Xenopus tropicalis: one gene and its partner. The protein of the gene in region 1 binds, or shares a complex with, the protein of each later gene. Links are inferred from orthologs where the notes say so. Each region holds a gene or a part of one and is shown in the gene's direction. Other genes may lie near its edges. The genes, in order: disp1 and shh.

Evidence for each region.
Region 2: the proteins of disp1 (region 1) and shh are in contact, whole or in part, in a cryo-EM structure (PDB 7E2I), measured with the Homo sapiens proteins. The link is inferred for Xenopus tropicalis from reciprocal best matches to the Homo sapiens genes DISP1 and SHH. Residues at the interface, in NP_001356523.1 of Homo sapiens: Lys242, Thr244, Gly245, Tyr246, Lys247, Ala248, Glu260, His265, Arg299, Phe336, Gly337, Asp338, Leu339, Cys340, Gln341, Arg342, Thr343, Glu459, Arg899, His904, Asp906; in NP_000184.1 of Homo sapiens: Pro49, Asn50, Val51, Thr55, Leu56, Gly57, Ala58, Arg68, Glu71, Phe73, Lys74, Leu76, Thr77, Pro78, Tyr80, Pro82, Arg96, Leu97, Gln100, Lys186.

Annotation. Positions count from the first base shown.
Region 1 is NC_030681.2:9,554,812-9,558,728, reverse strand, and holds the start of disp1 (protein dispatched homolog 1), read left to right. Parts: upstream 1-1,270; 5' UTR 1,271-1,340; intron 1,341-1,387; exon of another isoform or gene 1,388-1,528; intron 1,529-3,917. UniProt on the Homo sapiens protein: Functions in hedgehog (Hh) signaling. Regulates the release and extracellular accumulation of cholesterol-modified hedgehog proteins and is hence required for effective production of the Hh signal. Synergizes with SCUBE2 to cause an increase in SHH secretion.
Region 2 is NC_030682.2:17,020,881-17,024,797, reverse strand, and holds the start of shh (sonic hedgehog protein), read left to right. Parts: upstream 1-1,488; 5' UTR 1,489-1,766; coding exon 1,767-2,066; intron 2,067-3,917.

The DNA of each region.
Region 1 (3,917 bases):
CAGGGTTGTCAGCAACTACAACGTTCGCCACTAGATGTCGCTGTAAGACTGTATTTCTCAGCAACAACAAACATTCCGCCACTAGATGTCGCTGCAGGACAGCATTTTAGCTGTTCAACATTGCAGTTTGTTGTAATAGCGACACCAGCGTACCTGATACTCAGGGTTGGCAGGTTGGCGGTGTTTCCCCCGAATTGGGCTACTAATTTAAAGCCTAGGTGGGTTCCCAAAGTACAAACCCGCCAAGGTACAGATTTGGGCTAGTTTTTGGAGCCTTGGGGGATTTGTAGTTAGGAAACTAGCCAAAGTTCTTTCCCCCTAGTGTGCCTGTCCCACTGCATGCTGGGTAATGTAGTTTGTAGCTAACAATTAGCCTATAGCTAGGATTAATATAAAACTACAATACCCAGCATGCAATGGGACAGTATAGACAGAGGCTCTGTTTTGTATTCTATTTTGCTCATTACTTCTATTTTTTGTAGAAATGTTTTCCATGGCGCATATTGGGCTACTTTGGCTAGTTTTGGGCTATTTTAGAACTGACTTTGGCTGGTTTTGAAAAGTACCCTGCATTCAGCTATAGATACCCGGGTGTATACATAATGCCAGGGTGCCCGCAGTGCCTGCCAATAGCAGCAGTTATATAGGATACAGGCCCCACCCCCCCAATATAAATTGGCAGGTAAAGTGATGACCTCATGGGCTCAGTGGGCCCAGCAGCATTCACTGGACTGGATTGCACTGTGTAGCCAGTTAGGGGCAACCTGCTCATTCATTGGGCCGACCCGTTCTACCAAAGCCAAATACACAGCCTGTTGTTCATACATCCAGCCGGGGGGCGGCGCTCCCACTCCCACACTGACTCCAGCCAGTAACCTATAATTATCGTTCAGTCGGTACAAGCGGTCACTTCTGTTATTATCAGCTGGGACAGCCATTTCCACATAGACCAATATGTAATAGCGCCCCCTAATGCCAAACACACGATACGGCGGATCTGTTTCTCACAAATAAATTTGGACTTTTATTAAACCAACGCGATAGCGCACCGCCAGCCACAACATGGCGCCCAGCCAGCCAAGTGGCTGGCATATCGCTGACTGGGGGCCATGTTGTGGCTGGCGGTGCGCTATCGTGTTGGTTTAACTAAAGTTCAAGTCGGAAGTTGCTATTCAGCCAATGGGATAACTCCGATGCCCCCGGGGCGTGGTTTCCTGCACAACACATGACATGACAACACAAGGGCGGTGCTTTCGCACACAGAGCGGAGAGGAACGCGTGGCGGTTGCCGTTGGTTACGCAGTTTTCTGGCGCGCTTAGGGGGCCAATGGGAGGGGCCGGTGAGTCAGTGGGTGGGACTTGAGAGTGAGTGGGAGGAGCCTGTGAGTTAGTGGCGGCGCTCGGGTCTCGCGTGAGTGCCGGGGGGGGCAGAGTGAGTGAGTGAGTGAGTGAGTGAGTGGGTGAGTGCGGGACCGAGTGCCCCGAGTGGGAGCGGAACAGGAGGGAGGAGCGGGCCCGGCGGCTCATGGTAAGTGCCTCCTCCTTATTGTGTGCCGGGCTCTTACCCACAGTTCCCTGGGAGGGGCCCCAGTACCGGCCTGGCATTCACTTATCTCCCCACACGGGTTCTTTCATTGCTTTCCGCCTCCCTGATTGTAGCTTTACTTTTTGTCATATCATCTCCCGCCCTTAGTTTGTCTTTCAGCTGTGTCCCCTTCATCTTGCCCTCAGCTTGCCTGGTGTCCCCCCCCCCTCAGCTTGCCTGGTGCCCCCCCTCAGCTTGCCTGGTGTCCCCCCCCCCTCAGCTTGCCTGGTGCCCCCCCTCAGCTTGCCTGGTGTCCCCCCCCCCTCAGCTTGCCTGGTGTCCCCCCCCCCCTCAGCTTGCCTGGTGCCCCCCCTCAGCTTGCCTGGTGTCCCCCCCCCCTCAGCTTGCCTGGTGTCCCCCCCCCTCAGCTTGCCTGGTGCCCCCCTCAGCTTGCCTGGTGCCCCCCCTCAGCTTGCCTGGTGCCCCCCCTCAGCTTGCCTGGTGTCCCCCCCCCCCTCAGCTTGCCTGGTGCCCCCCCTCAGCTTGCCTGGTGTCCCCCCCCCCTCAGCTTGCCTGGTGTCCCCCCCCCCCTCAGCTTGCCTGGTGTCCCCCCCCCTCAGCTTGCCTGGTGCCCCCCTCAGCTTGCCTGGTGTCCCCCCCCCTCAGCTTGCCTGGTGTCCCCCCCCCCCTCAGCTTGCCTGGTGTCCCCCCCCCCTCAGCTTGCCTGGTGCCCCCCTCAGCTTGCCTGGTGCCCCCCCTCAGCTTGCCTGGTGCCCCCCTCAGCTTGCCTGGTGTCCCCCCCCCCTCAGCTTGCCTGGTGTCCCCCCCCCCTCAGCTTGCCTGGTGCCCCCCCTCAGCTTGCCTGGTGTCCCCCCCCCTCAGCTTGCCTGGTGTCCCCCCCCCCCTCAGCTTGCCTGGTGTCCCCCCCCCCTCAGCTTGCCTGGTGCCCCCCTCAGCTTGCCTGGTGCCCCCCCTCAGCTTGCCTGGTGCCCCCCTCAGCTTGCCTGGTGTCCCCCCTCAGCTTGCCTGGTGCCCCCCCCTCAGCTTGCCTGGTGCCCCCCCTCAGCTTGCCTGGTGCCCCCCCTCAGCTTGCCTGGTGTCCCCCCTCAGCTTGCCTGGTGCCCCCCCCTCAGCTTGCCTGGTGCCCCCCTCAGCTTGCCTGGTGCCCCCCCCTCAGCTTGCCTGGTGCCCCCCCTCAGCTTGCCTGGTGCCCCCCTCAGCTTGCCTGGTGCCCCCCTCAGCTTGCCTGGTGCCCCCTCAGCTTGCCTGGTGCCCCCCCCTCAGCTTTCCCATAGCTTGCCTGGTGCCCCCCCTCAGCTTGCCTGGTGCCCCCCCTCAGCTTGCCTGGTGCCCCCCCTCAGCTTGCCTGGTGCCCCGCCTCAGCTTGCCTGGTGCCCCCCCTCAGCTTTCCCGTAGCTTGCCTGGTGTCCCCCCTCAGCTTTCCCGTAGCTTGCCTGGTGTCCCCCCTCAGCTGGCCTGGTGTCCCCCCTCAGCTTGCCTGGTGCCCCCCCTCAGCTTGCCTGGTGCCCCCCCTCAGCTTGCCTGGTGCCCCCCTCAGCTTTCCCGTAGCTTGCCTGGTGTCCCCCCTCAGCTTTCCCGTAGCTTGCCTGGTGTCCCCCCCTCAGCTTTCCCGTAGCTTGCCTGGTGTCCCCCCCATCAGCTTGCCTTTCAGCGCTGTCCCCCCCCCCCATCAGCTTGCCTTTCAGTGCTGTCCCCCCCCCCATCAGCTTGCCTTTCAGCGCTGTCCCCCCCCCCCCATCAGCTTGCCTTTCAGCGCTGTCCCCCCCCCCCATCAGCTTGCCTTTCAGTGCTGTCCCCCCCCCTCCAGCTTGCCTTTCAGCGGTGTCCCCCCTCAGTTTGCCTTTCAGAGATGTGCCATAATCACTCCTTGTTGCATTGCCAAATACAAAACAGTAATTCATATTCCCAGCAACAGGCTAAGGCTGATGTCAGACGTGGCGTATTCTCGGGAAACAGAAAAACGCTTGCCGAGAATACGCCCCGCGTAATGCAAAGTCTCGTGTTTTTATGCGTATTTCGCTACATGTGCCTGCGCCCCAGCGTATCTCATTCATTCGGGTGCAGGCACAGGTAGGGCACATTTACAGTAGTGGGATATATACTCTGTAAGCGGTTTTCTGCTTGCCAGGAATACGCCACGTCTGACATCAGCCTTATGTAGTGCAGAGCAGGATGGCGTGGGTGTATTTGGGCCAGTAGTGGCAGTAGGTGGCTAGTGTGGCACTGATCAGCATGCCTGCGCTCTCTCCCTGTGGATAGCAGAAGTCTGAGTTGATTAGTTTGATGGTGTGACAGGCTGATTGCATTATGTAACACTAATATGGAGGGCAGTGCATTCCCCCCGGGCCCCCGGCTGATGGGGATCCAATTG
Region 2 (3,917 bases), on another chromosome or scaffold:
TCTATCAGCTATACACCTTGCAGCTAGTAATCTCCCTGTGTGTCTGTATTCTAACAGTAAGGTTGTCTGTAAATCTGGGATCTGTTGCTCTTTTCATGCACATATCTATATCATTTATATCTTTCTATCTATCTATCTATCTATCTATCTATCTATCATCTATCTATCTATCTATCTATCTATATATCATATATATGTCTGTCTGTCTATCTATCTATCTATCTATCTATATCACCTATCATCTATTTTTCATGTATGTATTCATCTAGCAAACTATCTATCTTTCTATCATCTGGCAAAATCCTATATCCTTCGATGTTTCTCTATCATCTGTTTGCATAATAGCTGAAGTTCTGGTTATCTCTCTGTTTCTATCTCTGTATCTCTATGTGTTATCTTTTTGGGTGTCTATATATGTCCTATCGGTGGTTCTATGTGCAAATTATATACTTTGTGTCCTTTATCACTCTGTTATCTATCTATCTGTCTATCTATTTATCTATCTATCCACCATCTATCTATAATCTATCTATCTGTCTATCATCTATCTATCTATCTATCTATCTATCTATCTATCTATCTATCATCAATCTATCTATCTATCTATCTATCTATCATCTATCTATCTATCTATCTATCATCTATCTATCTGTCTGTCCATCTATCCATTATCTATCTATCCATCATCGATCCTATCATGTAGAGAGAGAGAGATAGATAGATGATAGATGATAGATAGATAGATAGATAGATAGACAGATGGATATATAGATATAGATAGATCATATATAGATAGATGATAGATAGATAGATGATTGATAGATAGATAGATAGATAGATGATAGATAGATAGATAGATAGATAGATAGATAGATAGATAGATAGATGATAGATAGATATTGGTAATGTTACATATATCTATATGTATATATAGTATACACCATCAGGCACTTATATACCTGTAGATACATCTAAGGAAATACCCATTTGAGTTATTCTCTCTATACACGTATTTGTCTATGTACATGCATTCAAGGTCTAGTAGAATATGCTCAGGGGGTATTCTGTGTGTGCATGTATATATGTATATATGCCTGTGTGTGTGTCTGTGTGTTTGTATGTACAAAAACAGTGGCAGAGGTGTGTAGAAACAAAGAGAAAGAAAGAGCAAAGAGACAGATACACAGAGATAGAGAGACAGAGTTGTCAGTAGGATACATGGGGTTCCATAGGAGATATAGATCTGCAAACAGATAATTCTGTAAGTGACACTGTGGAAGCCTTTATTATCCCTGCTGCTGACAACTCTGTCATTTTGCCAAAAAAAAAAAAAAGTTTCAGTCTGTAACGCCTCCCCCCCCCTCCCAGCCCTCACCCATGAGACAATCCAACCTTGCCACTTGATGAGCTTTTCAAGGGTTAATCCAGACAGCTCTTGTCTGGCCCCAGCCAATCAGAGGCGGGCTGGGCTCGCTATAATATAGCTCTAAAGGCAGAGGCTCCTCTCACAGGCGGCTGCAGCCCTGCTTGCGCTTATTGCAATCGCAGCTTCTCATTTGCGCTTTAATTGCTGTGTCGCCTCTAAACCCCGATGTGTTCTGCTAGCGGGGACCTGCACACTGGGCTTTCTACACCTGCCTTGCTAGGGATCGGTGGCTAGTGGGGCCAGCCGGGAGGTACAAGGACACCCCAGTGCTCCAGCCAGTAGGGAGGCTGCAGCTCCACATCCTCCGAGCCTTTGATGTAATTGGCTTCGCTCGGACGAGATGCTGGTTGTGACTCGAATTCTGCTGCTGGGCTTCATCTGTACTCTGGTGGCCCCCCCTGGGCTGGCATGTGGACCTGGCAGAGGCATTGGCAAAAGGAGGCACCCTAAAAAACTCACCCCTTTAGCCTACAAGCAGTTCATCCCCAACGTGGCTGAGAAGACCCTGGGGGCCAGTGGTCGATACGAAGGAAAGATTACAAGGAACTCGGATCGATTTAAAGAGTTAACCCCCAATTATAACCCTGATATTATTTTTAAAGACGAGGAGAACACCGGAGCAGACCGACTCATGACTCAGGTACGGCCATACGTGGGGGGGTCGTGTAGGAAACCTATGGGGGGGGGGGTGGCTACACCTCTCAGGTGGTAAAGATACATTGATGATGGGTTTCTCTGTAACTGTCATTCTTACATTCGGGGGATGGCAGATACACTAGTTACTTCTCAGGTGGTTACCATATATTGATGACTGTAGTTGCCATTCTTACACCTCATTCAACCTGTTTCAACTCAGATCCATTTCTTCTGCCCCCATTGGCTTTAAAATACATTAGGACCCATGAATCAGGACTAAGCTATATATATATAGAAAGAGAACGAGAGAAGAAAATATATATATATATACACACACTAAATATTTCATTCATTCATTTGCTTACACGTCCCTTGGTCCCCTGGTTTAGCCAGTCCCCAGCCTTTAGCCCATACAAATGACCAGCTAAATCTCAATCGACCCCCCTGCACCCTGTCCCTTGTGTAAATCCCCCTTGTGGCACCCACACTGATCTCCAGCAAGGTGTGAGTAGAATGGGCAATGGGTGAGGGTATGTATGGGTGCCCACCGGTACCTTTGTCTGGAAGGGCTGCTGCACATTACATCATTGCTGATTAAATGGGATCTCCAGCTGATAGAGAGAGATCTGTTGGTTGGAAGCAGGAGCTGCTGGATAGAGTTGCAGAGTTTGTGCGACTGAGTGCGGCTGAGTGACAGGGAGGGAGGGGGCACATATATAGGTCAGGCTGATTCCCTGCACTTGCAATGTCCCAGATGTGTGGAGATACAGTATGGCAGCCAGGCGTGAAACCTCTAGCACAGGATCTATCTGGATATACCCCTGGCTCTATACTGCCGGGAGACTGTTACCCCTTAAGGGGGCACCTGAATCCTGCCAGGGGCTCTGTTGGCACAACCCCTCACCCTTGTCCTGGCCACACACCCATGCCTGGGAGGAATGGAAAGGCTATCAGCTCAGATGTCTATAGCCTTGGGTTAGTGTGTTCCTTAGGTATAGATACAGTGAAATAAATGTACCCTGGTATTTACTATCAGCCATATGTAACATTACTGATATATAGGCACTAGCTGTAGTTACATGATAGACAGAGAAAGCTAGAAGATATATGATAGATAGGTGATGATGATGATAGATATAGATAGATAGATAGATAGATAGATAGATAGATAGATAGATGATAGATAGATAGATAGATAGATAGATAGATAGATGATAGATAGATAGATAGATAGATAGATAGATGATAGATAGATAGATAAATGATAGATAGATGATAGATAGATAGATAGATAGATAGATAGATAGATTATAGATAGATAGATAGATAGATAGATGATAGATCTAGCGATAAAGAGACTGAGATGGATACATATATTGAGAATAGTAAATGCGCTAATATACACATATATATATATATATATATATATATATATATATATATATATATATACCGATACATGCTGGGCTGATGTGTATGGCAGATACAGGCAGTAGTACACACGGATCTATACAGATACAGACACATGAGGGTATACAGTATATACAGTATAAAGCTGTCAGGCAGTTACATACCGATATACACATATCTGTACAACCGGAGGGCAGCCGGGAGCCCCGGAGAGAGGCGATGAGCCCAGGGTACAGCTCCCTCCCGTCCCACTCAGGCTCATCCCTTATCTGCCCGGACCCATCAGCCTCTCACTTTGCTTCTATCGATCGGGCCGGTTGGGCTTTCAGCCTGTAGCCCCCTGAGCCGCGCTAATGGCCAATGCAGCTCCGTGTATGAGAAAGCTTAGCCTCTGTGATTAGCCACTCGCCAAGGCTTCTGCCACCTGTGGGCTATGGGCCACTAC